Elephas maximus indicus: one gene and its partner. The protein of the gene in region 2 purifies or fractionates together with the protein of the main gene of each other region. This does not show direct contact. Links are inferred from orthologs where the notes say so. Each region holds a gene or a part of one and is shown on either strand. Other genes may lie near its edges.

The links.
Region 1: the proteins of FTSJ1 (region 2) and WDR6 purify together in Homo sapiens (affinity purification with mass spectrometry; 3 studies listed by BioGRID and IntAct, with this or other methods). This does not show direct contact. The link is inferred for Elephas maximus indicus from reciprocal best matches to the Homo sapiens genes FTSJ1 and WDR6.

The regions. Positions count from the first base shown.
Region 1 is NC_064838.1:53,517,742-53,533,508, reverse strand, and holds the start of WDR6 (WD repeat-containing protein 6), read right to left. Parts: upstream 6,940-15,767; 5' UTR 6,842-6,939; coding exon 6,742-6,841; intron 6,527-6,741; coding exon 6,440-6,526; intron 6,325-6,439; exon of another isoform or gene 6,066-6,324; intron 5,431-6,065; exon of another isoform or gene 5,379-5,430; coding exon of another isoform or gene 5,336-5,378; intron 3,438-5,335; coding exon 965-3,437; intron 862-964; coding exon 778-861; intron 691-777; coding exon 574-690; intron 487-573; coding exon 368-486; intron 269-367; coding exon 1-268. Other genes in the region: P4HTM (transmembrane prolyl 4-hydroxylase), read right to left, coding at 7,386-7,606, 8,107-8,230, 8,420-8,510, 9,247-9,432, 10,027-10,189, 11,702-11,798, 12,640-12,830. UniProt on the Homo sapiens protein: Together with methyltransferase FTSJ1, methylates the 2'-O-ribose of nucleotides at position 34 of the tRNA anticodon loop of substrate tRNAs. Required for the correct positioning of the substrate tRNA for methylation.
Region 2 is NC_064846.1:123,179,073-123,195,497, forward strand, and holds the start of FTSJ1 (putative tRNA (cytidine(32)/guanosine(34)-2'-O)-methyltransferase), read right to left. Parts: upstream 6,404-16,425; 5' UTR 6,313-6,403; intron 4,168-6,312; 5' UTR 4,128-4,167; coding exon 3,992-4,127; intron 3,732-3,991; coding exon 3,662-3,731; intron 3,566-3,661; coding exon 3,484-3,565; intron 3,164-3,483; coding exon 3,085-3,163; intron 1,599-3,084; coding exon 1,546-1,598; intron 1,460-1,545; coding exon 1,406-1,459; intron 1,320-1,405; coding exon 1,217-1,319; intron 1,115-1,216; coding exon 1,031-1,114; intron 216-1,030; coding exon 112-215; intron 21-111; coding exon 1-20. UniProt on the Homo sapiens protein: Methylates the 2'-O-ribose of nucleotides at positions 32 and 34 of the tRNA anticodon loop of substrate tRNAs. Requisite for faithful cytoplasmic translation.

The DNA of each region.
Region 1 (15,767 bases), on a different chromosome or scaffold from region 2:
TTTGGGCTCAGAATCTTGAGACCTGTCACATGCGCAGCATGTGCACAAGGAACAGAGTATTCCTCTAGCACACGCAGCTGAGGTCTCAGCTCAGCCTCCCCAGCAGCCTCTTCCAGCTCTGGCACCTCCACGGCAAGCACAAAGACATGGAGAGAGCCATCTTCACTGCCACTGGCCACAAGATGGTGGCCCTCACACGTGGGCAAGGTGTGCAGGCTGTTGATACCGCAGCTGTGGGCCTGGAGAGTGAGGCAGGGGGTCCCCAGCTCTGGGGGAAGAAAATGCTTTTCACGACTCAGCCTGCTACATGGGTGAAGGTAAAGGGGTAGGGTGGAGAAGGGCAGTGCAGTGCACACCAGCTACTCACGGGAGGGAAGCCCAGGCTCTGCTGGTGGCTCTAGGGCAGTGGAACCATGGTCTAGCACGGTGGTGAGGTCCCAGAAGGCCAGGCTGCCATCGGTGGCTGCACTGCACAGAAGCAGCCTCCTAGGAGCCAAGAAAGGGCAGCCAGGTTAATGAGGGGGATGGAGGACAAGAGCCCCGCTCCCAGGACCCTCACCCAGCCCCGCTCACCGCCGCCGGCTGGGTGTCTCATGTGTGAAGGAGTGAACCTTGAGTACACACCGCTTGTGGTGGAAGGTTTCGGCAAGCAGCTGAAGCCGCCGCCCTGAGTCCTGTAAGACAAAGAGCCTGGGGAGGCAGGGGGCAGCCCAGCTTAGAACTCAATCTGGACAACCTCGTCCCTCTTCCCCCAGCCCCTGGGCCCTATGCTCTCACCTCACTGCCCCATCACTACAGGCTGCAGCCACGAGGGGGCCAGGGCCAGGCCGGTCAGGCTCACACACAGCCAGGGACATGTACCTGCAGCAACAACACACAGCCATCAGGTAGGGCCTTTGAGCCTAGGGGCAGCTGCATGGCATGGGGCTTGCCCTGCATGACCCCACCCTACGCTCCACGCCACCTGGTCTCTGGGTCCACCTTGACCATCTGGTGCCGATTGCGCTGCCGATCCCAGTACTCATCTAGCCGATGCGATGAGAGGTGCATGATGTGGCACGCAAGGCGGCTTGGGGTGCCAGGGTCTGGTGTGACCATGATGCTGAAACACTGCATCTCAGCCCGGCCCCCGGCAGACACCACATAGGCAGTCAGGCCTGGCCGAGAATCCTGAGGGCCACCTGGGGTGCCGGGGCCCCACACGGCCACCGCACGCACCGACGAGATATGGTTGCCAACTGCTGTGAGCGCGTGGGCCGCACCCGTGGCCGTGGGGAGTGCCAGCACACAGACGGTAGTGTCTTCACTGCCTGTGATCATGATGTCGATCAGGCCAGGCCCCTTGCTGCCAGGCTCCAGGTGGTCAGGTTGCACAAGGTTGGGCACCTCAAATTCAGGCCCCAGGGTGATGGTGCCCACACGTTTTACACAGGTGATCTCTCGGCCATGCAGACCCTCCCGGAGAATTACATGTGGCCTGGTACAGCCACCCAGGGCCCGATACAGCATGACGTCCCCATCCTTGAGGTAGGCAAAGGCCACAGCAGCCTCGGTATCCGAGAAGGCCCAGGAGCGGTGTCCTCCACCACAGCTGATGATGTGCAGCTTCTCGTGTGACCGGGGGCTCCATACCACAAACTCATTGGCATGGAAACCCAGGATAACCATGCTCCCATCGGCCACCATGCGGAGCCCAGCCAGCCAGTTCATGCCTCGACAGGACTTCTGCCGTAGGACTGGCTGGAGCTGGCCGCCTCGCACAAAGAGCTGGTAGTAGGCGCCGTCGCGCCCTGTGGTATACACGTAACCACCATGACAGGTGACAGAGGTCACGCCCTGTTTCCCATGCAGGGAAGGGAGTGTGGACACAGGGCCCAACTCAGCCGAGGTGCTCCTTCCCCCACCACTGCAACCACTCACGCCAAGTCCCCCAGCCCCAGCCTTGCCTCCAACCCCAGTGGCCTTGAGCAGACCTGGTCTGGAAGGGAACAGCAGCACGGAGCCCCGGCGATCCCCGAATACCAGGAAGTCTCCTGGGGGCAGGAAGGCACTGCACGTGTGCCACCTCTGCTTGCTTGGGGGAAGCAGGTAGCGACAACGTTCCTTGACAAAGATGGCCTTGCCAGAGGGTGCAGCTGAGATCTCCAGACAAGTGACCACTCCACTAGGGCCCGATGCCAGCAACAGGAGCTCCTCATAGCCACGCAGGGCCCAACTCAGGCTGTGCACCTTCCCCTGGAACAGGGTCAGGTCCACGGCAGCAGTTGGAGTGTTGATGGGGACAACCTTGACACGACCCTCCCCGTTGGCCATAGCACACAGCCCGAAGCCCTCAGGTCCAGGAGCTGCTTCCAGGAGGCAATAGGACTGGAAGCGCTTGTCCTCCAGGAGCTGCTCCCAGCACTTGACCTCGAGATCATAGAGGTACAGAGACCCTTTGTCAGTCACTGCCAATACTCGCCAAGAGCCAGCCAGTGTTACGGCCTTGAGGGTGCCTGCCCTGCTACGGGACTTAAAACAGAGAGCTGAAACCCCCGAGCCTGGGTACCCACGGCCTACCAGGTGCCACAGCCGGATACCTGAGTCATCACCCCCGGTGATGACCCAGGCCTGCTGCTCGTGGGCAGCTAAGGCCCGGATCCCACGGCCCTGATGGCCCCGAAAGGCCTGGAGGATCTCACCTTCGTGGCTCCAAACCAGGCAAACGCAGTCTTCTCCTGCGCTGATAAGGTAATTCTCCAGGAGCTTGACCTGCCACACACGGGCACTGTGCCCAAAACAGTGCCCAATATTTTGCACTCGACCCCCAGGCACCCGGAGGTCGCCCACCTTCCAGATGCGGACACTTCGGTCTTCTGAAGCTGTGGCCAGCAAGCCCTTGCTTTCCAGGTACGACATGCTGAAGATGACACCCACATGCCCACTGACCCGCCGGTCAGGTGCCACAGGCTCGATTTCTGACGTGGTTGCTGGGTACCAGACCAGGAGCTCGTTGGAAATGGCACCCGCCACCATGGTCAGCTCCTTCCAAGTGTTTCCAATCAGGCAGGCTGAGGAGAGGGTACACCTATCTGTGCAGGGCACCTCCTGCAGGGTACGTCCTACCATGGGGTCGTAGAGCACCACTGAGTTGTGGCCCAGAGCTACGGCCACATTCTCCTCCAACCAGCATGTATCCCAGATCCAGTCGGACATGCTCCACAGGCCAGAGCGCCAGACCTCCCGGAAGCGGCCCTGCCCCCAGCTAACTTTCACAACTCGGAGCCCCTTGCTCCCAAACACAGCCACTGTGGCCTGTGACTCCAAGTCTCCACCGGGCTCTGACCGCACCCGGAACCCATGGATAAGATAGTGGCCAAGCAGGTTCTGTACTCGCTTCATCATCCGCAGATGCCCACCAAAGTCCAAGCTGTATACCAGGACGTCCGGACCCTCACCTAGACAGAGGCAAAGAGCCGCATCAGAACCTCCCACCTAATGCTGGTGACCTGTGGGGAAGGGACCTATCAACATGTAACCTGTTAATGTGTTAGGACACGTGATCCCACAGGCGTGAACCTCGAGAAATCCTTGGTCTCAGTTTCAGCCAGATTTTCAGTGCTGGCTTTCTGCTCCCTTTGTCAGAGGCTCCAGTTCAATTCAACTGTGAATTCCTTAAACTCTTAGCCTCCTCTTTATCTACCTCCTCTCATGCTTCAGACTGCAACCCCCTCAGCTTTAGTCCCCAGGTGGCCCCATCTACCTCTCCATTCATCCTCCTTCCTCCTCTCTCCTCCACTGGGAGGAAGGTTGTCCTGCTAAGGCAACCTTTCCACCCTCAGGTCAATGGCCACACCCCTCCTGATTTTCAGAAGCCTCTCCCTATATCTGAGAAGGGGTGCGTATGTTCAATATCAATGGGAAGACCAAGGAGAGACAGCCCACACTTTGGTCTTGGCAGAGGCTTGGGCTTGAGTCCTGGCCCTGCCATTGGCCCACTGTGTGAGCCCCCCTTCTGGGGTATGGCAGCCTTGGCTCTGAGAGCCCCAGAGCAGCAACAACAGAAAGGGATATCAGGAGGAAGGGAGGAGGTAAGAGACATCCAGGGCTGAGACCGAGTCTGGCACATGGCAGAAACACAACAAATATAGACTACAGAAACGTCATTTATTGCTTCCTGACATGCGCGCTCCTTGCTTTGCTCCTTAGCCTTTCCCGGATGCATCTGCTCCAAGTACTAGTGTTCCCACAGGCTTTACTCATGCACAGACTTTCTGGACAGCCTCATCCTCAACCCAAATAGCTCTAAAACCGAGCACCCAGCTGCCTCCTGGTTTTCCTGCAGGCACCTGCCACTCCACTGACATCCACCCCAAATTCTCTCAGTGCTCCTCATCCCAGTGCCCATCAAACCCTCTGCCCATCCTCCAGTCAGAAACCTGGAAGCCCCCTGCTTGCTCCTCTCTCAACCTCTCACTTCTTATCTGTCTCCAAGTCCTGTGGATTTCCCTTTCTAAAGAGTTCACAAACCCTCGCCACCATAGCAAGGTTGGTGCTTTTACCTGAGAGACCAGCAACAGCCCCTCACACCACTGCTGACCGGCAATCTCCATCTTTTAACAGTCAACAAACATTTACTCAGCGTTGATAATAAGCCCAACGCTGAACTAGATGCTGTCAGTGAACAAGCACAGACACTGCCCTTTTGGATTAGGCAGACACTAAACAGTAAAACTGCTCAACTACACCATTACAATTCTGGCAAATTCCAGGAAGAAACCCTACAAGTTGCCGTAAAAATATAAAATGGGAAGGTCTAAAACAGTGTTCTCACAGGGGGTGACTTTGCCCCCCAGGAGACATCTGGCAATGTTTGGAGACAGTTTTGGTTGTCACGACTTGTGGGGGGGGGGTGCTGCTGGCATCTACTGGGTAGGGCAAGGGATACTGCCATGAACAAGACAGCCCCTTACAAAAAGAATTACCTGGTCTAAAATGTCAGCAGTGCAGAGGTTGAGAAAGCAGCCCTGGTCTAATTTAACCAGACTGGGTGAGTGCAGGGGAGGTCACCTCGATGAGCAACATGTAGGCTGAGGATTCAAAGATGAGCAGAGATCAGCCAGAGGAAGAACAGACAGGAAAGAAACTTTCTTGGCAAGGAATAGCAGGTGTGAAGCCCTAAAGTAGGCAAGAGCTTGAGGTAGTGGGTCAGAAAATGAAAGATTTAAGAAGGTCAGAGAAAATATTACTGAGGACCTAAAGGAGACATAGTGGCATGGCCTCAGGTAATGTCAGTAAAGGCAGAGAAACAGACAGGTGCCATTTAAATGATGTCAAAATCAACTAGACTTGGTACCTAACAGGCCTGGGGAGTCAAGCAGATTCTCAGGCTTGGGCATCTGAGTGACTGGTGCTTTCCCTGCTGAGCTGAGCCATCAGGCAGATGGACCACTGAGGGTAGATGGGATATTTCAGTTTGTAAGCACCTGTGCACCTGGGCAGGGGACTCTGGAGAGAACAGGGCTGAGGATTCATATTATATTGAAGCACACATGGAATTAAAAATTGTAGCTATATAAAAGCCACTTTGGAAGTCACAGGAATGGGTGAATTCACTTGATGGGGAGCCTTCTAACATGCATTTTCCACCAACTCATTTTCTTGCTTAAAACCCTTCCGCTGGGCCACCTCACCGCCCTTAAGAATAAAGTCAGATCAAGCCCTAAGCAAATCTGACCCCAGCTCACTTCTCCAGCCTCCTCTCCTCCCAGGCCTCACCCCTGCTCTAGCCTCAGAGGAATTTCTTCCTTCCTGAAAAGTAACCAACTCTTCTGGCCTCACTGCCTTTGGCATGCTTAACCTCTGCCAGGAACTCACCCCTCCCCTTCTCCTAGTTCATTCTGTGGTTCTTTGGGTTTCTACTTAACTGTCCCCAAATCCTGGAGCCTTCGTAGTTTAGCTCGAGAGGCTCCCAGAGCCCCCAACCAAGATCAAAACTGGGCATCCGCTACTGCCCCCCACACACTCCCTTGCCTGCCTAAGACTGGCAGCAGCTCACTCAAGGCCCTTTTAAAACAAAGAAGCACCTCATCGCCATTGTCAGTCAGTAGCTTCATGTCAGACCTCATCGTTCCGCAGGTCTCTGCCGCCTCCGGTCCCAGGCCCCTGGGCCAGTCACCGGAGCCTGTGCTTCCCCACCTGGCCCTCCTCGGAGGGGAATCGACACTGGATTGCCCGGACCCCAACCATATCAGGAGGGGCCTCATAGCCCGCTTTCCGGGACACTGTCCTACTTGGAAAGGTCTCATCCCCAGTTTCCCGCGACCTCAGAGTAATTTCATTCCCATCTTCCCTGGAAAAGCCACAACCCCGCCCCCAGCCATACCCGGCCACGCCCCCTGGGGGGCTCACCACCCCAACCCCCGCTCCGCCTCCTCAGGAGGGGCCAAACCCCACTCACCTCCTCGAAGAAGCCACGGACCCCTCCCCCGAAACGGCCCCGTTATCCCGCACTTTCCCGCGGCCGCGCCTGCCTTGTCCTGGTCGGCTGCAGTTTACGAAGGGCTGCAGTAGCCTCATCAGTATTTGTCTCCCAGGCCCATCCTCGTTCCCGTCGTCTCCTGGGGTCCCTTCCCGCCTCCGATCGGACCTCGCCCGCAGCCCACCCTCCTCCTCGGGGCATCCCTTTGTTCCTCGCGGCCCCGTCCCAGGCTGGCGCTCAGTTTCTTAGCTCGCTAGCGCGCGCTTCAAACCAAACCTCACCCGCCAAAAGCCGGTCCCCCACGCACTCCAGACCCGTGACCGGAAGGAGTATGAGCTCCGAGGTGGCCCGCGGCCACACGTAGTCCTCTCGAGCGTCCATGTCGGTCCTCCTCGAACTGCGGCAGCCGCCACCACCACCAAGAAAAGAAGCTACGCTCTCGCGAGAGCGACCCTTCCCCGCGCGGTGCGCCGCCGATCGACTGCGCTTTTGGCTACAGGTAGCAGCGCCTAGGGACGCCCCGGCGCAGCTGATGTCCAATGACGACCCTCCGCCCCACGCGATCCCGCCCACGATTGGCGGGGCCCGCGGAGGGGGCAGCCCCCGCCCCGCCCCTCACGTGACGCTCGCGGAGCACTCGGGGCTGCTGGCGAGCTCCGCCTGACCGCGTCTGCCTCCCGCCCGCCCGGAGCTTCTTAGGCCAGCGGCTCGAGGCCGTGTGATTTTATTTGGCGTTATCAGGGCGGCATCGGTCTGTACACAATAAATAAGATGAATATAGGAACTGCGCTCCAGTCGCAGCTGGAGGCGGGCGTGGGGCAAGACATGGGCCATGCCTTTGGTCTGCAGCAGGGCAGGGGGGCAGCAGGGCCCGATCTCAGGCAATGGCCGCCTGGAGGGGGAGGGGGCGGTGCCGGCCCTCCCCTCAGAGCTCCACGTGGGCGTCGCGGTAGGCCCGGTCCAGAGCCCACTCGGGCTGCGAGTCGGTGCCACCTTCACGGGCCAGGCGCGCCATCTCCTGCTGGAAGAGCGCCTGTCGCGCCCGGCTAGGGTCCACGTTGATCCAGTTGTTGGCGATCCACTTGGTGCCGCGCGTGACCAGGCAGCCTCCGTGCAGCGAGTAGTCGTCCACATCGCCAACCCAGCCTGTCAGTGGAGGGTGTTGTGAGCAAGGGAAAGGCTGGGAGAGACCCTAGGCTGGGCTGCTCTAAGTTCGGCCTCTTCTGGTCCAAGGGCTCAGAGGGGGCCCAGCTGTGCACACCTCAGGTAGCAAACATGGAGCCCCAAGGCCTCCTTGGGATCTTAGCATCTCAACCATCTAGTGCTTTGTGAACACCACTGGCCCTCCAAGACCAGCTTTCTTACTGCCAAGCCTGGACACAGCACTTCTCAGGCTGGGTTGGGAAGGGGCATGGGTCCACACAGCCCCAGAGAGCAGGTAGGTTGGGGCGTCAGGGAAGGATGACAGGTCAAGATGACCCAAGAGTCTACACTGGTGCCGGGGCAGCTGCTGAGGTCAGTTAGGATGATCTTTGAAGGCGCACCAAGGACAGAATGCTATTTGGGGGTGGCCAGAAACAGCCCTACAGGGGGCTGGGTAAGGAGAAGCTTTCCCTGGGCACCCCAGCCTGACCACAAGCACTCACCTTGCCCATCAGGCAGGTAGTTGTACCAAAAGACTGCTGTGCCCTGCCGGGGCTTAACACGCAGATTTCCCTTGTCACAGTGCCTCCGAGTGTCACGGAGGTCAACATCATCCTGAATCAGACTCTGTGGGCAGCAAGGTGCTGGAGTTTGCAAGCTGCCTCCACTGCATGGCCAGGCAGCCAAAGGTGTCCAGAGGCAAACCAGCCAAAAGTGCCAGGGTGTGCTTGGGCCTTCCTCCCAGGCCTGGCAGGGTGTGTGCTAGGTGAGCCCAAGGCCAGGCAGCCCACAGGCAACAGCCCAGCCAGCCCTTACCATTTCATCATAGGTCCTGTTGTCTGCTACTGGGAAGACGGTCTCACCCCCGCCGGTGACGTTGTTCAAATAAAACAGCACCGTCATATAGCTGTAAGGCAGGGGGACTGCTGAGCAGGTCTCTGGTTGTATGACACTCCCAGGGGCTCACCTATGGGCAGGACAGGCTGGCCGGGTTCCCGGGGGCCAGAGGGACAGGACAGTGCCAAGGTGCCCCAGTCCCTCCCCACAAGCCCTATTATTCTGTGTGTCACCATGTATTTTGTGGCCAAGATCATAGATGCACTTAGCTAAATTATGTGGCCCTGACCAAGGCCCCATCTAGGCAAGGTAGGCTAGTAGAACCAGCTCGGTCATGCAGAAGGGCTGGTCAGGGCTGCAAGGGGCTGAGCCACAGCAGCCACATGGAAAGGAAACACTGACTGGCCTCATGTACCTTGGCAAGGAAGGGGGACACGGGAAAGAGAAGCTGAGGCCTCCAGCATTGGAGGCAGGATCAACACCTGGGAAGGTAGAAAGAACTGGGGACCCAGCCTTGCCCCTAGCCTCAGACCTCTGGGGGCAAGTTTCAGTGTCTGTGGGTACCTCAGTCACTGTTGACTAGAGTGGGCAAGGTGGCCAGCAGCCACCCCTATACTGCCACTTGTTAAACAACTTGGAGGGAGAGCCAAGAGCTGTATCGACCAGAATGGCCTGAGTGCCCTTCTGGCGCCGTGCAGAGGGGCATGCCCACAGGACAGAACTGTGCCTGTGTCACAGAGGTGCCTGGTCTGGGACCCAGAGGCAGTCCCCCGGTAGGAAACAGCCCCCAGGACGGAGGTACTTGCCGGCAGGAGGTCTCGAAGGGTCCGGACTCGTTGGCTACCAACTTGGTGTGAGAGCAGATGGTCTCCGGGTACACGGGCCCACTGTCCACGTGGGCGTGGTAGTGGCCTCCCTCTCCATACCGCACAACCTGCAGTGGCTCACTGAGCTCCACGATCTCAGGCGACAGGCGGGTGAGACGTAGCACCCTGGTGGGCAGCAGGCAGTCGGCTGGGCACCCTGAAGGAGCCAGCCAAGATGGACCCCGGGCCTGCTCCAATCTCTGCCCCTGCCCACCTTCCCTGGAAGCCCCTTGAACCACCCCACACTGGCCCTGTAGGGGCACGAAGGGATCACTCATGATAAGCCCTTCTCCCTCAATGTTAGACACCCATTGGGTGGAAAAGATGAAATTCCATTAAGTTTGGGGGCTCAGACCTGGACTTGCTGACCCCATCCCATCCCCTCAGAAAGGAGGTTGTTCATCTAAAGCATCTGGCTGCTCACGGTGTGAGGTCCCGTGAGCAGAGAAAAGGGTCATTTCTTCTAATTAGCTGAAAACAAATACTCCATCCATTTCTCATCCCAATTGTATAGCGTTTGCCTACAATGAGGGCTCATTTGTCTTTGTTAATTGCCCGTCTTCCAACAGGTCCCCATCCTGGTCTAAAAAGTGGAACTCAATCCTGAGGTGGCTAATCAATTCTGTCCTCAGCCCTAGTTAAGGGCTTCTGAGGGGCCCCAGCATGTCTTCTCCCCTGTACCAGGCCAGAGGTGGGGGGAGGACAGCCTCAAATGCTCACCTCTGGCGGATGGCACGCATGACATGGTGGGCACCCTCACCCTGGTAGAGCCACGTGTGGTGGCTGTTCCGCACCAGCTCACTGGTCTCTGCCTTGTGGCTCCTCATATACTTGTGGAAGTCCCGAAGGTCCATGTTGGAGAACTCTTGCAGACTCAGCACTCCTGCACAAAGAAGCTGCCATCAGTGCCCACCAAGCCCACAAGGGGAAGCCACAGCAGCAACTGCACCTCCCTGTCTTCCCCAAAGGCAGCAGCAGCCCCTGGCCTCAGGCACTGCGAGGCCATATGTACCTGTACCCCACCTGGACTCTTGGGTCAGATGAACCTGGTTTCAGTCACATCAGACCCTAAGGGAAGACCCAAAGGAGTTCATCGTTTCCTCAGTTAACCCCTCTGATTTGGCCCTGAAAGGGAAGAAGCTGTCCCCTCCCCACCATTAGAGTGGCCAGAGCAGGGTCTCCAAAGGAAACTTGAGCCGCGTGGCCAGGGCCCTAGGCTAAGGACCACCCCAGCCTGTAGCCTGGCTCTGAAGAGTGTGGCGGCCACCCTTCAGTCTTGTGGAGGGTAAGGAGAGAGAGTAGCCAGCACTGGGCCTCCTTCAGGGCCTTTCACACAGGGCGGTGCAGCCTGGGGCTGGTCCTCAGGGGATGCCTCAATACCTCAGGTCCCATCCCTGACAAAACACATCTAGCCAGGCCTGTCTGCTGGGTCACTGGCCCACTTTGGCAAAGAAAGCCAGGCTGCGCCCCCAAATGAGAGCCCCCTCTCCTTGTTCTTGCCCAACCCATAAGGCAGGGGCTCCGCCCCCTTGAGGCTCTAAAAGAGTAGCTGGTGCCTTTGCTCCATGTTATCCTGTCTGACCCAAAATCCTTGGCCCGGGTTTTTCTGAGGGTAGGGGACACTCCAGGGCTGTGAGCCTGTCACCAGCTCTGTACATGGGGGCAGTAGCAGTAGGACACCCCTCCAGCCACAGGTCCAAGTCAGATTCTTCAATCTCGCTTCACCAGCCATAAGGCCATTTCTCCCAGTCCTGTTTCACCTGTCTATCTTCCTCAGTCAGTATACAGAACTTAAGCATGAGGGTGATGACCATACCTCAGAAACTTCCTGGGTAGTTCCCAATTTGGGAGAGGCCATTCACATGACAGCTTCCCTGCCCACCCCCACCCCCACCCCCACCCCCAGTAGTTAGCAACACCACCACTTCTGTGTTTCAGCATGGCTCCAGGTCGAAGGAGGAAAAAGGGAGACCTCAGTTAGATCAGGGAGGCTGCCTGCAGGGGCAGACCCCAGACCTGGGTGGAGAGAGGCGGATGGAGCAAGGCAAGCAGCCAAGCTCAAGCCTGCACTCCCTGTTCCCTTGCTTCTGCTCCACTCACTCTGCCAACTGACAGCCCCACATCCTGCATCCCAAACTCTGCCTGAGGAAGGTCAAAAGGATCTCCAAGAATTGCTCTCAGGTGTCACCAAGAAGAATGGGAGGGGCTGGCTGCCTGACCTCTTCCCAGGGATAAGGGACAAGGCTGGGCCCTCACCTCCACATCTCTAGCCACTTCAGAAGCTGGGCAGAGAGGGCATCTGGCTATTGGGACAGCACCTAAGCTTTCAAGATGGTGCACCTGGGAGTAGGCAGGAAGCTCACAGGGACAGAACTGTGGTGAGGTATGAGCTCACCGTCGCCATCAGGGTCAGCCTTGATTGCAGAGTACATCTCCTGAATGCTCTCTGGAGTCATCCATCGTCCATTTCCCAGGCGAGTATGGGACAGGACCTGCAGCACAAGAGGTTCCATCAGTGAGTTGGCCCCAATAATGGTAAGTCACCAGAGCACAGATGGCCCAGTTCTTGCTGTAGGGCTAATGGTTCAGGTGAGAGGGCATTGACAAAGACACAGGTTAGAGCCTGAGGGTCCCTGGAAAGAAGTGAGGGTGGGCAGAGAGGGTCAGAGGCATCTGGGGAGGAGGCCAGAGGGTAGTCAAAAGGCCTGAAAGCCACAGGCACTTCCAGCCCTGCTGGTACTGTGGCCTCCATGGGGAGCACTGGTGGCTGGTTGGAGGCAGAGTGAGGAACAGACCTCTGTCCCACTCAGATACTCCAGGTGGGGTGGGGGAAGCCAAGCTCTGGGTGTGAAGAGAGAACAGGCACCAGAGGGAGGCCTGACCAGGGCATGGCCACTGGGGTCCCAGGAAGACCAGGCTCAGGGGGGTGCTCTGTCCGGGGAATAAGCCTCATGCCCTGCCAAACCTCTCTCAGAAGCCCAAGTGTGAGGGGCATGTAGGATGTCTGGATTGTTGCCCACTTCAGAACTGCCATCCCATCTACCATGAGGTCTGTGGGGCCCCCAGCTATGGCAGCAAGGGATCTAGACCAGAGAAGGCACACCACCTGAATACTGTGGCAGTAAAAGCCATCACCCCCAGGTGGATTCCCCTGACATCTTCGTGTTCATAGGGCAGCAAGGGGAGACCTAGACCTGGACATGCCCAAGCTAACCTGGGGTGGCATCTGACTCTTGAGGCTAGGGTCGAGGTAGGTAGACAAGTGAACTTGTCACCAGAAAGGAAATTCTGGGCACTCCCACCCTGTGTGTATTCAAGTCCCAGGATCCCAACCTCACGAAGTTGCAGGCGACCATCATGGTTCTGGTCCAGTAGCCGGAAGAGGTCTAGCTGGCTGACCTGCATTGTACCCATTGCCTCCTCGTACTCCTCAGTGGGCAGGATCTGGCTGCGCTGTAAGCCCTTCATCTGCGCCAGGTGGATGGTGAGCCGACACTCCTCATCACTCAGGAAGCCAGGGATTTCTGCCATAAGAGGAGAAGGTGGGTGGTGAGGCCTAGGACTGAGCCAAGGCATTGATGCTCCCGGGACCTTCCTCCCTGCAGGGCTCCTGGGGCCTGGAGCATTCCCTGTCCCCTACTGGCACACATCACTTTACATCTGCTCTGGACTCAGGCCCCAAGGTCAGGTTGTCCTGCAAAGGTTGGCCAACTTTTAGAATGTGGGCCTTGGTCTTCCACTCTGAGAACACATATTTTCCAGGGGAGTCCTGGAAGGAAGCCAGAGTTAAGCCGAACCTGAGTTAAGTTCTCCCCACCCTGGGGTGGGGCAGAAGGCCAGAGGGTAGACCTCTATTTCTTAACTAGAAAAAAAAATATATATATATATATTTAAAAAGCAGAGGGGTGGTAGCTGGCTCTTGCTTTCATTTTTGCTTTTCAGCATTGTTCAAATAAAAACAAGCAAGGCATACAAAGACATCCAAGAATTGGACTGGACTACAAGACAGAAAATGATACTGGTGAGGAGTGGGCTTCTTGGATCAAGTAGACAGACACATGAGACTATCTGGGCAGCTCCTGTCTCGGGGTGAGATGTGAAGGCCAAGGGGGACAAAAGCTGGCTGAATGGACACAGAAACACAGGGTGGAGGGAAGGAGTGTGCTGTCTCATTAGGGGGAGAGCAGCTAGGAGTATATAGCAAGGTGTATATAAGGTTTTGTATGAGAGACTGACTTAATATGTAAACTTTCACTTAAAATAAAAACAAAAACAGAAGACATCCAAGTGCTCTAGGCCAGTCCAAGGGCCTTGCCCACCATTCTTCTGCACAAGTGGCATTGGTCATTTGACCAGGGCTGGGTTGTTGACTTTCCAGGCTGGGAGGTTGGTGGGGGGCCACTCAGATTTTTGGCAAATGCTGGTCTCTAAGAAGATGCTCGAGGTGCCCTTTGCTTCCCCAATTCCTTCAGGCACAAATGTAGTACACTGAGCAACTGCTCCATGCTCCTAAGCTTCCGAATATAGGTCGGACCTGGGGTTTGGCCCTAGTGGCTGGACGCCCTCGCACTGGTAGGCAGCTTGGTGGAACTGGAACACCCATGTCTTGGCATCCCCAAGCCCTTCCCTGGAAGAGAAGAGCCCAGGCCCTGCTTCATTCCCTACTAGGGAAGAGAACTTCCTTAGATGGGGGACAGAGGTCCACACAGGGGCTGATTGAGAGAGGACAAAAACTGCAGCTGTGTCCCCTCAGAATTCCTGCAGAGGGGCCTGCAGCTTATTTTGCACTGTACTCCCAGCGTAAAGTTCCAGTCATTGCCGAGAGGAAGGAAAATGGCTGCTTTGAGCCAGGAATGGAGCAGTTTTTAGTAGTAATCACAGCAGATCGTATTTCGGTAGCGCAGACTCTGTGCCAGGCACTGTCCTAAGCACTTCATACATATCGACTCCTTAATTCTTACACTTGTTACAGAACATCAGTCCCCAGTAGGTAACCTTTCTTTTCAGTGAGGAACCCCAAGCACAGGGAGCTCGATGACTTTTCCAGGGCCACCTAAGCTGTTGTACTCCAGAATCCATGCTCATGACCAGGATTCAGTTTCCAGGAATAGGTGACCCAGATATGATGACACTGTGAACAGGACAAAGGGCCCCACCCCTGGCCTGCATGACACCTTCCCCCCTGCCCGCCATCCCGCGCCCACCAACCGTGCAAACCCAGAATGCAAACCCAGAAACGGTGTGAGCCAGGCACTGGAGGCAGCCCTGCTGGACAATGAGCTAGATCGAATTGCTAATCAACAGTCGCCTTTTGATTTTTTTTTAAGTAAACAACAACAACAAAAACACAGGGTCAGATTTCTTTTGTTTATTAGGTGCTGGTAACCCACAGGCCCAACAGCCCCCTACCCTACCTCACCCCTGCTGCGGTGTTAATCAAATGCAAACAGCCCAGGCCAGCGGGCTGAGACCTAACCAGGTGGGTCCAGGCACTTGAGAGCTGGGTAAACACCAGCACAACCCCCCACTCAGGCCAGGATGGACAAGGCAGGTCACGGAGCAAAGGCTGTGGCTGCTGGTGGTGTTGTGGAGTGATGTGGGGCAACAACGGTTCCCTGGCGCCCCTCATGGTGCATGCCCATTCCACAAGCCATGGTGCTGTGCCACGACATTGGCTATGCAGAAATGTGGCTGCCCTACTTGCTGGACCACAACACAGCAGCCGAGGTCATCCAGCAGTCAGTCAGCTGGCTGCCCCTGCTTGCCCAGGAGTGCCACCCTGACGTCTGCCTCTTCCTCTGCCCCTTCTTCACCCCTGTGTACCTCAACAGGTAGGACAGAGGCTCCCAGGTGCTGGCGGGAGCCCCTCCTCAGCCAGGGCCTGCTCTGGCAGCAACTTGCCTCTTCACTAACCCTTGCTGAGCATGATCAGGGTCACCTGTGTTGTTCCTAGTGCAGGGGAGCAGGTGTCTATGGGATCTGAGGAGTTGGAGGCTGGGGACCACCAGCTGTGAGCACCATGGGGTCCAACCCTCAGCCCAGACCCACGAACTATCAAGGTTCTTGAATGCTGAGGTGTAGCTGGGGGGCCCGGAGCACCTCTTCAGCGAGGTGTGGGAGCTCTGTCTGCCCAAGGAATCGCTGCAGGAGGTGGTGCTGTGGCCCCTCTCAGGCCTCAGACACTCCTCAACCCATCTGGTGGTCTTTTCTTGCCATGTCCCAAGATGGAAACACCAAGTCCTCTTCCTCAGCCTACAGTATCCTGTGAACTGCTCCCTCAGCTCCCTCTTCTAAGAGTGTGAGCCCTTCCCAGAGCCTCTGGCAACCATGCCAGCAACAATGGATTCTTTCACTGCATGAGGGCAGGGCCCCCTCTTGCCAACCTCAGCCCTGGCCAGAGACTGCAGGGCCCTAAAGGCCTTTCATAACAAAAGGGAGGGCCCTGCCTTCTCCCTCCAAAA
Region 2 (16,425 bases):
TACTCTGAGCCGTCCTCTAGCTGCAGGAACATATGGGGGTAATGGTGAGGACCTGAAAACTCAGGACAGCTGCTCTCCCCACTCCCTGCCTACTGCTGGCCAGGCACTCACATCCAGTGGGTAACTGCGGTCGGAATCATAGGCGCTCAGGTCCCCGCAGGTCACAAACGGCACAATGATGCGGGTGGGGCCATCCAGCTGGTTGAAATCTGGGTCTGAGGAACAGGGAGACAGAAGACTGAGGACTGGGCTGGGATGCCTGGGACCAGTCATGACCCAGGCCACAGCATGGCTACCAACTCCTCCAAGAGGATCCCTGCCCAGCTCTCCCCAGATATTCCCTATCTACTCTTACCATTCCTCCACCAGAAACCCTTCACTTGGTTCAGATCACCTCCTCAGGGAGGCCCACCATAATCACCCCTTCTAAAACACTGCCGCCCACTCTACTTTTTTTCCACAGCACTTATCTACACTTGACATTCTATTATATGCTGTTTGTACCTTGTCTCACAAATGTAATCTCCACAAGAACAGGCTCTTTGTCTTTTTTCCCCAGAGAGGAGGCTAAAAACCCTCATGGGGCAAAATTTCCACATAGAAGTGGAGTTTCCACCTGGGGGTGAGACTGAGAGGTTTCCTAGGATAGAATTTTCTTAAGCAGGCAGTCTCCACAGGGCAGGGCTCTGAATCTTTCTGGGAGAGAATTTCCATCAGGTCAAAGAGCAACCACCAGGGGACTGGGACAAGATATCCATAAGGGGGTAGAATTTTAACCAGAAGGTAGGGCTGAGGATCCTCCCAGAACAGCATTTCCACTAGGGGTGGGGCTAAGGACCCTAATGAGGCAAAATTCCCACAATGGGGTAGAGTTACCACCAAAAGGTAGGGCTGAGGATCCTTTTGGGATAGAATTTCCACAAGGAGGCAGAGGCTCCACTGGGAGTGGGACTGAGGGTCCTCATGAGACATAATTTCCATAAGGGAGTAGAGTTTTCCCAGGGATAGGGCCCAAGGCTCTGGCTCTCACCGTAAGAATGGTCTAGCAGAGGTTTGGTCAGGTCTGGTATGAAGCCCTCAGGAGGGTCATAACCCCGACAGACAGCGAAGGCCTCTGTGGATAGAATCTGGAGTGAGGGGTGACTGCCATCTCTGCCCGTACAGGATGCACCCCCAAGACTGCCACCCACCTACCTGGCCCCTCCACCCCACTGACCAATGCTGGAGTTACGGCTGCTCCTGGGCTTGGCACACACCACACTGGAGAAGAAGACCCGCAGCTGGCTATAGATCAGCGTCACATCACGGCCTCGGAATATCTGTGGGGTGGGGAGTCAAAGATAGGAGGGTGAGGGCGGCCCTCAAGGACTCCTCTCTACCCCTGACCAAGCTTCCCTAGACTCACCTTGGCCACAAAGCAGCCCCCTGGTTTCAAAACGTGTGTAGCAATGTTCAGAGCCTGTGGGCAGGACAGATGGCTAAGGCTGAGATGGAGACAGCCAGAAAGGAGCCAAACTGGGGCAGGGACAAGCCAGGGTTACTCACAGCTAGGAGGAGCTGGGCCTGCATGTACTCATCCACATCATGGAGGCCAGTTACTGTGGCAAGAGGAACAGTGTTAGGGGGCCCTTTCAGTTCTATGTATCTTCTTGTACCAGAGAGGTTCCCAGAGGTTAGAAAGCTAAAAATATTTCCTAGGCTCTCTTACTGCTAAGGTTCTGGATGCAAATTAATATCTAACCAATTGGAAGCATACGCTGAGCTCCTAACCCTTCAAGGAACTCATTTATTTTCAAAAATAACCTCATGTGCAAGTACCATTACCACTTCCATCTTCAGCTCAAACTGCAGCTCTGAACTCCAGACTCATAGATCAAACTTGACATCTCAGATTCAACACGTCCAAAACCAAACTCCTGACTTTCCTTCCTGAACTTTCTCCTACCATCTTCCTCATCTCATTTGATCCTTACAGTTGTTCAGGCCAAAAACCTGAGTTACCCTTGACCCCATCCCCACATCCAAGCCATACCATGAGCAAATCCTGTCAGCTCTGCTTTCAAAAATATATTGAATCCACCCTCTTCTCATCTCTACCACTGCTTCCACCATCACGACTCACCTGGACTAATGCAGACTCCTTCCTCCTCACTGGTCCCCGTGCTTCCACCCGCACCCCTTACATTGCTCAGTAGCTAGAGGAACCCTGTTACAGCCCAAGTCAGGCATGACACTCTTCTACTTAGAATCCTCTCATGGTTTTCTCCAAGCCCCCATCTCACTCAGAGAAAAAGCCAAATTCCTCACTGTGGCCCTCACCTACAGGATCTGGCCCCTGTCACCTCTCTGACCTTATCCCTGACCCCTTCTCCCCCTCACTCATTCTGCTTCAGCTATACTCTTCCTTCTCATTCTCCTACATATACGTCAAGCACACTCCCGGCTCGAGCTTTTGCACTGGCTGTTCCCTTTGTCTGTATGGTTCTTCCTCTAGACACATCCATGGCTCACTCTCTCATCTTTAGGTCTATGCTCTAAAGTCAGTGAGGCCTTCCTCATCCACTTTATTTAAAATGCCAGTATGCACTCCCCACTTCCCCTCCCTACTTTGTTGACTTCCCCATGGTACCTATCACATTTTAACATGCTACATAGTTCAATCATTTATTTTGCTTCTTTTCCATCTGTGCCCAGCTCCATGAGGTCACGAATTAGTGACATTTTATTCACTAATGTTTTCCCAATACCTAGAACAGTGCTTGCACACGGTAGGTGCTCAGTAAATGTGTTCTGAATGGATGATTGACTGAATAAATGGAAAAATGAATGAAGAGTAAAATGGAATTGGACAGTTGCACAGGGATAAGAGGCACAGGTGGACAACAAACACAAAACAGAAAGGTGGAGGGGGGGAGGGAGAAGACTGAAGCAGAGAGCAGACAGCAGAGGTGGGAAGTTGCCAGATATGGGGAAAGGCTGACAGCATAGGGAAGAGGCAGTGAGAAGTTAAGAGATCAAAGAAATCAACAGTGGTGGAAGATCCCGAGAAAGACATACACAGGGCCCCCCCACCCTGCTGCTTACCATCAGGAGCCCCATCACACACCACTAGGTCTGCAGGGCAGCCCTCAAAATGCTGAATTATCTCCTTGGCAGTAGATAGCTATGGAAAGAGGGAGAATGAGTGGCTCCAGGGCTCCCCCAGCTGCTGCCCTTGAACCCCACCTGCCCAGGACCCCACCCCAGGCAAATTCTCAGGCTTTGCCTGTCTTTGGGGACCTAGTCTCATCTTTTTTTTTTTTTTTGCTGTTTCTCTGTGACGACAGCTGCTAGCCCTGTTTCTCCACTGTTACTCCCTCTCAGCTACTGTATCTCTCCTTCTTTCACTTTCTAGTTCTCTCTGTCTCTTTCCTATTTTCTATAGCCTCCAGATGGGGGGCCTTCACCTAGGATACACCCTGACTATCCTGGCCATGCTCTCACCTGGGTGATGTCCCCCTGTATCTGTAACACACCTGGCAGCGGAGCCATAGCCTGCAGGTCCACGGCCACCACATGTCCACCCCTGTGGACAACATGGCCCATGTCAGTCCAGTCTTCATACCCAGAACCCCCCACCCAGCCCCCCTCCCTGTCCCCCACCAAGGAACCCCACACTCACCCAATTTTCTGGCTCAGCACCTGGCTCCAGCTGCCCGGGGCTGCGCACAGGTCAACGGCCCGCATCACGCCTGGGCACACACAGGAAGGTGTATTAGTCAGCTGCACCTGACTCTCCAACTCAGGGACCCTGCACAGTTCACCCCTCTCCCCTGGGGAAGCACACATCTATCCATTGTCCATGCACCCAACTCTTCCTCGGGATTCTGCCCATCTTCCTGCCGGCCTGTCTGCCCCAGAGATCCTCCAATTGAGCCCACCTACCACAGGGAGCCCTACAGACCTAGCCAACTTGTCTATCCCCCTTGAACCGGCCCCCTCAGCAACTCGCCCGCCAGGTGGGGACCTTGGAAGAGTTGGAATTCCTCATCGAGCTGTAGTAGCTTGAAAGCACTGCGGGCACGCCAGCCATTCTCCTTGGCCAGGCGGTAGTAGACATCCCGCTTGTCCTTTGATGTCCGTCCCATCTCACGTACTCTGTTTGCCCAGGGACCTGCCAACAGTAAGCTGATGCCAACCTGTATCAGTAACTGGGTAGAGGGGCCACTACCTACCTCTGTGGGGGCTGGAAGAACCACATAAACCAAATCAGGCTCAACTGACTCACATGACAGCCCATTCAGCAGCAGGGAAGACTAAAGCCCAGTCACTGATGCCAATGACCTCAGTGACCCAAACAACACCATTACTGGGCCTTCAGGCTCTATTACTCATTTCACAGATCACCCATCCCTGATCTCACACAATTCCCATCACTGACCCCAGAGACCCCTATCACTCACCCCACAGACCCTCCATCATTCACCTCAGAGCTCCCCATCACTCACCTCACAGACCCCCCATCACTCACCCAACAAATCCCTCATTACTCACCTCACAGACCCATCATTTACTCCACAGACCCCATCACAATCCACAGACCCCCATTACTCACCCCATAGATGCCCACTCCCCCAATACTTATCTCAGAGATGACCCATTACTGACCCTGGCAACCCCCCATCACTGTCATCTGCACTCCACACATTAAACCCCATGATTCGCACAATCAGCCCTTCTTTGACCACCTCATCCCCATTAACATCTCACTGACCACACTCCCAATTGTTCCCATTGCCCCTGGATTCATATGCCCTCATTAGCCCACCATTAATACCCTGCTTTTTTCATCCCATTACCCTCCTAAAACTACCTCATTGCACTCCCCAGCCCCTTAGTCTTCATCTCTCTCTGCCCACCCCATTCTCCATTAATTCCTTAAATGATTAAACCAAAACCAGTGTCATCGAGTTGATTCCAACTTGTAACGACCACATGCCTGTCAGAGTAGAACTGTGATCTGTAGGGTTTTCAGTAGCTGATTTTTCTGAAGTAGACTACCTGGTCTTTCTTCCAAGGCACCTCTGGGTGGGCTTGAACCACCAAATGCTGCCTGGTCCTGTTGGTATTTATCAACCCCGCTTAATGCCTAAAGGATCATGCCATATTAGACTCCCATTAAGCTCTCAATTATTATGATTTATCAGCCCCCATTAACTCATTAGCCCCCGATCAATCTCATAGTTCATACCCCCGTTAGTCTCCTGTAGCCTCTCTGTTACTCCCTTGACACCAAATTCTCATCAGTTCCCAATTCTCCCCTCACTGCCCACCCTGCCCTCCACTAATCACTGGATGACCATGCCCCAACAGTTTACTATTTATTACTCTCTCCTCATTAATTCCTGGATGATCAAGTCATGATAGTCCTACTAACCCTTTGACTACAATACCCCATCAGTCCCTCATTATCTCTTCTTTGATCACTGCTCCCATCAGTCCCTTGATTATCACATTAGCCCTCCATTAACCCCTCGACGATCACCTCCATCGGTCTCTATTATTCGCTCTGTAGCCTCACCATTACCTTTTCGATTAGTATGCCCCATAGCTCCCCATCAACCTGTTAAATACCATACCTCCTCATCAATCCCTTGATCACACCCCCATATCCACCTTCCATTACCTTCTAGTTGCCCACTCTACCACCCCTTCGTTTATCAATCGCTGAACACACCCAAACCGGCCCTAATGAACCTGTTGATTAAAAACACTCCTATTAACATCCCCATCGGACCTCCATTACCCAACTGCCCATTAACAACTCTCTGACCACACCCCTAGTGCCTCCGCATCCAAACCAAAAAACCAAACCCATTGCCGTGGAGTGGATTCCGACTCATAGCGACCCTATAGGACAGAGTAGAACTGCCGACCCTATAGGACAGAGTAGAACTGCCCCATAGAGTTTCCAAGGAGCGCCTGGGCGGATTCGAACTGCCGACCTTCTGGTTAGCAGCCGTAGCACTTAACCACTGCACCACCAAGGTTTCCTCCCTGCTCATCAGTGCCTCAAAAATTATGCCCTCATCGGAACCTCCAAGCCCCCCTCAGGCGGCTCCGCTGATATCTGGACCCCGAGCCTATGCCGAAGAGTAGTCCCCTTACGCACGGAAACCTTGGGTCTGGAGCCCACCTAGTGCCGGCTGCCAGAGCTAGGCCGCCGCCAACGCCCAGGACGGACCTCTTTCCTTCCCCCGCCGGCTGGACAGCGCAGGCGCGCCTCGACAGAACCTAGGCCTGGATCCACATCCTCCTTGCCCCGCAGCCTACCTTAGCTTTCAGAGTGGGAGGAAGGAGTCTGGTCCGTGAGCAGCCCGAGCCTCGGCGAGAGCGCAAAAAGGAGAGAAATGGTAGGGCTTCAGTTTGTGCCCTTAGTTGACCCGAATGCTCGTCGCACAGGCTTAAGGACGAATGCAGCAAGGTACGGTTGGCAATCGGGTTCGCTGAGGCTCCAGCGCGGCCTGGACTCGACCTGAACGTGCAACGTGAGTTCCGTCATCTTGTGTTGACGTGGCTGGTCATGCGAATTGCCGTTCCCAGCATGCAACGGGCACGACCAAAGCTGCTGAATTCGCTCACTGGGTAGCTGAAACATCGCGAGGCACAGGAACTGATTGTTTGTTCTTTTGTTCTAATGCTAAAATCGATTTCCTTCCTCACTACTCTTGGACCGTGGCGTTAGTTGAGCCTGCGGACTACGTTTCCCAAGATGGGACGAGCACGATGGTACCCATTCATTTTACATGTGTTGCGAGGCGGAATTATCGATAGGAATAACCCGTTGCCTTCCAGTCGGCTGGTGGGTTCGAACCCAGGGCTCCTCGTGAGAATAAGGAGGTTTTTTTATGCTAAGTATGCGAGCGCTCTGAAGCTTCCAGCCTGAAGTTCGAATCCTACCTCCGGCAAATGCTAGCGCTTCCTTTTACCATCTTAGAACTTCCATTTTCCCCGTTTGTAAAATGAAGATAATAAATAGTACAGGCTTAACAGATTTATTGGGAGGATTAAATAGGTGTAGTTTAGCACACTGTCTGTCTGGCGGCTCGTAATTCTGTGCTTCAAACATTTTTTAACTCCGACCCACAAAAAAAGATACACATCGCGATCCAGTGCACAAACATAATAATGGAAACATTTATTATAGCAGTTACCATGTACTAGGCACTAAGTGCTTTCGGTGGTGTCCTGGTAAATGGCTAACAACCTGCGTTCTGGGAAGGAGAAAAAAAAAGTTCCGATTTCTAACATTTGCCAATTTCATTGGTTTACATACCCTCATCTCGGCTGACTTAAGGTTACTAACGTGTAATCACTCAACACCGAGTTGGGACGAAATGCAGTAGCGCACCAATATATCATATTCTTACCATATAGACAGAATAGAGGTAAATAACCTCAAGAGCATAGATAACAGTGAGATGTAATAAAATAATTAGAAAGTGATGCGTTTTGAGCATTTATCACCTTTTAAAAATATAATTTAGTTAATTGTAAGTTTTTATCATTTAATTTTTAATAATAGCTGTGTTGAACAACCAGTTTGCAAAATTCCCTCAAACCGTTAGAAGTTGGCTCCAGCACACCCACTGAATGCTTTTCTTATATTAGGTCATTTAATCTTTACAACCACCATATGAGGTGGTTACTGTAATTATGCCCATTTTACAGATGAGAAAACTGAGACAAGGAAGGATATATATTATATGAAATATATAAACATTTGCCATTTAATTTATATGATCATATAGAAATATATAGTGGTATATAATACTTACTAATATATAAAATATATTAAACACATAAATATATCATTATATGTGAATATAAAGAAATACATAATGGTATATATTTTTTATATATACATATAAATATATATGTTAATATATATAAATGTGCTACTATCTATATGGAGCCCTGGTTGCACAGTGGTTAAGAGCTTGGCTGCTAACCAAAAGGCTGGCAGTTCGAATCCACCAGTCACTCCTTGGAAACCCATGGGGTGTTCTACACTGTCTTCCAGGGTCGCTATGAGTCAGAATAGCTCGATGGCAACAGGTTTTTTGTTTTTTAGTATCTATATGCATTTATTTATACAACAAACTCCTTGTACTAAATATAAATATACCATTAAATAAATATATATGGAAACCCTGGTGGCATAGTGGTTAAGAGCTACAGCTGCTAACCAAAAGGTCTGCAGTTCGAATCCACCAGGCAGTTCTTGGAAACCATATGGGCAGTTCTACTCTGTCCTATATGGTTGCTATGAGTTGGAATCCACTTGATGGCAATGGGTTTGGTTTTGCTTTTGGTCAGAAGAACCAACAAGTCTGTCTTGGAAGAAATACAGCCAGAGTGCTTTTTTGGAATCAAGTATAGCAAGACTTTGTCTCATGTACTTTGGACATGTTATCAGGAGGAAACAGTCCCTAGAGAGGGACATCATGCTTGGTAAAGTAGAGGGTCAGTGAGAAAAAGGAAGACCCTCGAGGAGATGGATTGACACAGTGGCTATAACAATGGGCTTAAATATAACAATGATTGTGAGGATGGGGCAGGACTGGGCAGTGTTTCATTCTGTTGGACATAGGGTCAGTATGAGTCCGAACTGACTCAACAGCACCTAACAACAACAGTAATTAAATGTATACTGTTATGTCAGCTGGTGAAAAAGCTGTGAAGAATAATAAAGCAGGGTGAAAGGGGATCAAGAGTAACAGAGGGGTTGAATTGTTATTTTAGACAGCATGGTCAAGGAAGGCTTTCTTTGAGGAGGTGACATCTGAGTTGAGACCTGGATTAACTGAAGAGGAGCCCACCGTACAAATATTTTATGAAAGAGCACTCTAAGCAGAGGGAGCATCAAGTGCAACTGACCCTCAAGTGAGAACCAGCTTGGCGAGTATTCAAAGAACAGAACAATTGATTTCATCATTCCTTAGAATGTGAGCTTCAGAAAGACAGGGATTTCTGTTCTGTCACGTTCACCCATAGCCAAAACCAGTTGGTGTTCAACAAATGCTTGTCAAATTCACCATTTTGTTTCATTATTCCTTCATTCTTTCCTCAGTGGTGCGGAGCCCTGGAAGGAGGCAGTGAGACTCTAGGAAAGAGGTGTAGACAGAGGAGCTGAGACCGGACACTGACACCTACCTGAGAGAGCACCCTCCTGGAGGAGTCACTGAGGGCCTGGGAGGAAGGGAGAGCTTTCTCTGCAGAGCTCAGAGGGCTTGTTGTGGGTGTGAGGGCTGAGGTCCTGGAGACAGTGGGAACATGGTTCCCTGTAGATGTGAGCGAGTGTGAGAAAGGAAGGGTTCAGGACACCAGGCTGCTGCCCCACAGAAAGGAGAGAGCAGCAGGCATGGGAGAGGGGGGACCCACATTCACCTTGTGGGACACATCCCAAGTCCTGTTTTCTTGCTGCTCATAAAGAGGATGTTTAATTTTTAGCAAAAAAAACTTGCTTCCTGCAGCAAGGCCAGGGGCTTGAGGGTCAGGAGCCAGGCTCTGAACACCCCAGGCTCTTCCTGAAGTAGGGTGTCAGCTTGTAGCTCCCACCCGGCACCCCAATAGGTGTAAAGGTCTCCTCCCATCAGCCTCCTGGAGGGAGGCTGCCAGACCAGCTCTTTACATCTAACAGTGTGAAGGAAAGAAGGGGCTCCAGGGGCACAGGATTAGACCCTGACTCCAGAAGCCCTGCTGCCCAGAGCCTGCTTTGAGGGACGGAAGAGACTCCACGGAGCTCCTCAGTGGGAAGCCTGCATGAAAGGCTAGATGAAAATCCTAAATGCACCTGAGTAGAGACTGGCTTTAACCAACTGAGAATAATCCATTAATTATTATTTTAAAAAATTTTTATTATGCTTTAAGTGGAAATTTACAAATCAAGTCAGTCTCTCACACAAAAACTTACATACACCTTGCTAGAAAAAAAAAAGTTTTTTTTTTTTCTACTCTCTCATCTCCCCTCCAGACAGGAGACGCCAACATAGTCTCAAGTGTCCACCTGATCCAAGAAGCTCACTCCTCACCAGCGTCCCTCTCCATCCCATTGTCCAGTCCAATCCCTGTCTGAAGAGTTGGCTTGGTAGTGGTTCCTGTCCTGGGCCAACAGAAGGTCTGGGGTCCATGACCACCGGGGTCCTTCTAGTCTCAGTCAGACCATTAAGTCTGGTCTTTTTACGAGAATTTTGGGTCTGCATCCCACTGTTCTTCTGCTCCCTCCGGGGTTCTCTGTTGTGTTCCCTATCAGAGCAGTCATGGGTTGTAGCCGGGCACCATCTAGCCCTTCTGATCTCAGGCTAATGTAGTCTCTGATTTACGTGCCTCCTTCTGTCTCTTGGGCTCGTAATTGCCTTGTGTCCTTGGTGTTCTTCATTCTCCTTTGGTCCAAGTGGGTTGAGACCAGTTGATGCATCTTAGATGGCTGCTTGCTAGTTTTTAAGACCCCAGACGCCACTATCCAAAGTGGGATGCAGAATGTTTTCTTAATAGATTTTATTATGCCAATTGACTTAGATGTCCCTTGAAACCAAGGTCCCCAAGCCCACGCCCCTGCTACGCTGGCCTTCGAAACATTCACCCATGTCCCTGGTACGCTGGCCTTTGAAGAATTCAGTTCATTCAGGAAACTGCTTTTGGTTTAGTCCAGTTGTGCTGACCTCGCCTGTACTGTGTGTTGTCTTTCCCTTTGCCTAAAGAAGTTCTTATCTACTCTCTAATTAGTGAATACCCTTCTCTCACCCTCCCTCCCTCCCCCCTCCCGTAACCATGAAAGAATATTTTCTTCTCAGTTTAAACTATTTCTCAAGTTCTTATAGTAGTGGTCTCATACAATATTTGTCCTTTTGCAACTGACTAATTTCACTCAGCATGATGCCTTCCAGATTCCTCCATGTCGTGAAATGTTTCACAGATTCATTACTGTTCTTTATCAATGCATACTATTCCATTGTGTGAATATACCATAATATATCCATTCATCTGTTGATGGGCACCTTGGTTGCTTCCATCTTTTTGTTATTGTAAACAGTGCTGCAATGAACATGGGTGTGCATATGTCTGTTCATATAAACACTCTTATTTCTCTAGGATACATTCCAAGGGGTGGGATTGCTGGACCGTATGATAGTTCTATTTCTACCTTTTTAAGGAAGCACCAAATCGATTTCCGAAGTGGTTGTACCATTTTACATTCCCACCAGCAGTGTGTAAGTGTTCCAGTCTCTCCACAACCTCTCCAACATTTATTATTTTGTGTTTTTCGGATTAATGCCAGCCTTGTTGGAGTGAGATGGAATCTCATTGTAGTTTTGATTTGCATTTCTCTAATGGCTAATGATCGTGAGCATTTCCTCATGTACCTGTTAGCTACCTGAATGTCCTCTTTAGTGAAGTGTCTGTTCATATCTTTTGCCCATTTTTTAATTGGGTTATTTGACTTTTTGTAGTTGAGTTTTGGCAGTATCATGTAGATTTTAGAGATCGGACACTGATCGGAAATATCACAGCTAAAAACCTTTTCCGAGTCGGTAGGTAATCTTTTTGCTCTTTTGGTGAAGTCTTTGGATGAGCATAGGTGTTTGATTTTTAGGAGCTCCCAGTTATCTAGTTTTTCTTCTGCATCGTTAGTAATGTTTTGTATACTGTTTATGCCATGTATTAGGGTTCCTAACGTTGTCCCTACTTTTTCTTCCATGTTCTTTATCGTTTTAGGTTTTATATTTAGGTCTTAGATCCATTTTGAGTTCGTTTTTGTGCGTGGTGTGAGGTATGGGTCTTCTTTCATTTTTTCGCAGATGGATATCCAGTTATGCCAGCACCATTTCTTAGACTGTGTTTTCCCCATTTAATGGACTTCAGGCCATTGTCAAATATCAACTGCTCATATGTGGATGGATTTATGTCTGGATTCTCAATTCTGTTCCATTGGTCTATGTATCTGTTGTTGAACCAGTACCAGGCTGTTTTGACTACTGTGGTGGTATAATAGGTTCAAAAATCAGGTAGAGTGAGGCCTCCGACTTTGTTCTTCTTTTTCAGTAATGCCTTATTTATCTGGGGCCTCTTTCCCTTCCATATGAAGTTGGTGATTTGTTTCCCCATCTCATTAAAGAATGTTGTTGGAATTTGGATCAGAATTGCATTAAATGTATAGATTGCTTTTGGTAGAGTAAACATTTTTATAATGTTAAGTCTTCCTATCCATGAGCGAGGTATGTTTTTCCACTTATGTAGGTCTCTTTTGGTTTTTTGCAGAAGTGTTTTGTAGTTTTCTTTGTATAAGTCTTTTACATCTCTGGTAAGATTTATTCCTAAGTATTTTATCTTCTTTGGGGGCTACTGTAAATGGTATTGATTTGATAATTTCCTCTTCAATATTGTTTTTGTTGGTGTAGAGGAATCCAACTGATTTTTGTATGTTTATCTTGTATCCTGATGCTCTGCTGAACTCTTCTATTAGTTTCAGTAGTTTTCTGGAGGATTCCTTAGGGTTTTCTGTGTATAAGATCATGTCATCTGCAAATAGAGATACTTTTACTTCATCCTTGCCAATCTGGATGCCCTTTATTTCTTTATCTAGCCTAATTGGTCTGGCTAGGACCTCCAGCACAATGTTGAATAAGAGTGGTAGTAAAGGCTATCCTTGTCTGGTTCCTGATCTCAAGCGGAATGCTGTCAGGCTCTCTCCATTTAGGGTGATGTTGGCTATTGGCTTTGTATAAATGCCCTTTATTATGTTGAGGAATTTTCCTTCTATTCCTATTTTACTGAGAGTTTTTATCACGAATGGGTGTTGAACTTTGTCCAATGCTTGTTCTGTATCAGTTGATAAAATCATGTAGTTCTTGTCTTTTTTTTTTTATTTATATAATGATAACATTAATTGTTTTTCTAATGTTGAACCATCCCTGCATGCCTGGTATGAATCCCACTTGGTCATGGCAAATTATTTTTTTGATATGTTCTTTAATTTTGTTGGCTAGAATTTTGTTGAGGATTTTTGCATTTATGTTCATGAGGGATATAGGTCTGTAATTTTCTTTTTTTGTGGTGTCTTTACCTGGTTTTGGTGTCAGGGATATGCTGGCTTCATAGAATGAGTTTGGGAGTATTCCGTTCTTTTCTATGCTCTGAAATACCTTTAGTAGTAGTGGTGTTAACTCTTCTCTGAAAGTTTGGTAGAACTCTGCAGTGAAGGCATCCGCGCCAGGGCTTTTTTTTTTGTTGGGAGTTTTTTGATTACCTTTTCCATCTCTTCTTTTGTTATGGGCCTATTTAGTTGTTCTACCTCTGTTTGTGTTAGTATAGGTAGGTAGTGTGATTCCAGGAATTCATCCATTTCTTCTACGTTTTTGAATTTGTTAGAGTACAATGTTTCATAATAATCCGATATGATTCTTTTAATTTCAGTTGGGTCTGTTGTGATATCACCCGTCTCATTTCATATTTGGGTTATTTGCTTCCTCTCCAGTTTTTCTTTTGTCAGTTTGGCCAATGGTTTATTAATTTTGTTGGTTTTTTCAAAGAACCAGCTTTTGCTCTTGTTAATTCTTTCAATTGTTTTTCTGTTTTCTATTTCAATTAGTTCTGCTCTAATTTTTATTATTTGTTTTCTTCTGGTGCCTGAGGGTTTCTTCTATTGCTCTCTTTCTATTTGTTGAAGTTGTAGGGATAATTCTTTGATTTTTGCCCTTTCTTCTTTTTCTGTGGTGCATTTATTGACTTAAATTGGCCTCTGAGCACTGCTTTTGTCGTGTCCCAAAGGTTCTGATAGGAATTATTTTCATTCTCATTGGATTCTATGAATTTCTGAATTTCATCCTTAATGTCTTCTATAGTCCAGTCTTTTTTGAGCAGCATATTTTTCAGTTTCCAAGTGTTTGATTTATCTTCCCTGCTTTTCCTGTTATTGATTTCTACTTTTATGGCCTAATGGGCAGAGAAGAAATATTTCAGTGTTTTGGATTCTGCTAAGGCTTGTTTTATGACCTGATGTGTGGTCTATTTTAGAGAATGTTCCATGTGCGTGAGAAAAGAAAGTATACTTGGCTGCTGTTGCGTGGAGTGGTCTGTATATGCCTATGAGGTCAAATAGGCTGATTGTGGCATTTAGATCTTCCATGTCTTTTTTTGAGCTTCTTTCTGCATGTCCTGTCCTTCACCAAAAGTGGTGCATTGAAGTCTCCTAGTATTATTGTGGAGCTGTCTACCTCACTTTTCAGTGCTGATAGAATTTGTTTTATGTATCTTGCAGCCTTGTCATTAGGTGCATAAATATTTAATATGATTATATCTTCTTGGTATATTGTCCCTTTAATCATTATATAGTGTCTTTCTTTATCCTTTATGATGGGTTTAACTTTAAAGCCTATTTTGTCAGAAATTAATATTGCCGTTTCTGCTCTTTTTTGATTGTTGTTTGCTTGGTACATTTTTTTCCACCCTTTGAGTTTTAGTTTGTTTGTGTCTCTAAGTTTAAGGTGTGTCTCTTGTAGGCAGCATATAGACGGATCATGTTTTTTCATCCATTCTGCCCTCTCTCTTTTTCTTTATTGTTGCATTTAGTCCATTTACATTCAACGTAATTATGGATAGGGATGAATTTAGTGCTATCATTTTGATGTCTTTTTTTGTGTGTTGTTGACAGTTTCTTTTCCTACTTAATTTTATGTGATGAATAGATTATCTTTATATATTGTCCTTTCCTCATTTCGTTGTTGTTGATTTTGTTTTTGCTGAGTCTTTATTTTTTTCTTGTATTTTATTTTGATGTGTAGGATAGTTTGTCTCCTTTGTGGTTACCTTATTATTTACCCCTATTTTTCCAAATTTATATCTAACTTTTATTTCTTTGTATCGCCTCGTCTTCCTCTTCATATGGAAGATCTATGACTACATTTCTTAGTCCGTCTTTATTATTTTAATGTTGTCTTCTTTTATATAATAACATCGCTGTTTCCCTGTTTCGAGCGTTTTTTTAATCTTGATTTATTTTTGTGATTTCCCTGTCTGGGTTGACACCTGATTGCTCTGCCCAGTGTTCTAGTCTTGCATTGGTACCTGATATTATTGATTTTCTAACCAAAGAGCTCCCTTTAGTATTTCTTGTAATTTTAGTTTGGTTTTTACAAATTCCGTAAACTTCAGTTTATCTGGAAATGTCCTAATTTCACCTTCATATTGAGAGACAGTTTTGCTGGATATATGATTCTTGGCTGGAATTTTTTTTTCCTTCAATTTTGTATATAAGTCATCCCACTGCCTTCTTGCCTGTGTGGTTTCTGCCGAGTAGTCAAAGCTTATTCTTATTGACTCTTCTTTGTAGGTGACTGTTCGTTTATCCCTAGCCGCTCTTAAAATTCTCTCTTTATCTTTGGTTTTGAAAAATTTGATTATAATATGTCTTGGTGACTTTCTTTTAAAATCTACCTTATGTGGAGTTCGATGAGCATGTTGGATAGATATCTTCTCATCTTTCACGATTTCAGGGAAACTTTCTGCCAACAAATTTTCAACAATTCTGTATTTTCTGTTATCCCTCCCTGTTCTGGTACTCCAATCACTGGTAGGTTATTTCTCTTGATAGAGTCCCACATGATTCTTAAGGTTTCTTCCTTTTTTAAAGTTCTTTTATCTGATTTTTCCTCAAATATATTAGTGCCAAGTGATTTATCTTCAAGTTCACAAATTCTGCCTTCCACTTGCTCAATTCTGCTCCTCTGAGTTTCTATTGAGTTGTCTACTTCTGTAATTTTATTTTTAATCTTCTGAATTTCTGCTTGCTGTCTATGGATTTTTCCAGCTTATTAAATTTTTCACTACATTCCTGAATAATCTTTTTAATTTCTTCAACTGCTTTATCTGTGTGTTCCTTGGGTTGTTGTGCATATTGCCTGATTTCCTTCCTGATGTCTTGAAGGGCTCTGTATATTAATCTTTTGTATTCTGCCTCTGGTAATTCCAGGAAGGCACTTTCACGTAGAAGATCCCTTGATTCTTTGTTTTGAGAGCTTGTTGAGGCACTCATCGTGTTTCTTTATGTGACTTGATATTGACTGTTGTCACTGAGCTATCTATAAGTTATTGTATTAGTTTATTTTATGTTTGCTTTCTATGTCGTAGCTTCTTGCTTTGTTTTGTTTTGATATGCCCAAATGGGTTGCTTGAGTGAGCTAGCTTGATTATTTTCACCTTTGGAGCTCTGACATCCTGTCCCCAGATGGCTAGAGCTGTTATCAGGTATATCAGTCTAGGAGTCCATTCACTTTCCTTGTATGAATTCAGCTCAGGTGTCCAGGTAGCTGATCATCAAGTGTATGGTACAGGCTCTGTCCTACAGTCTTCGAGGGGCAGGGGTGATTGGTGTATGTACCGGTATCT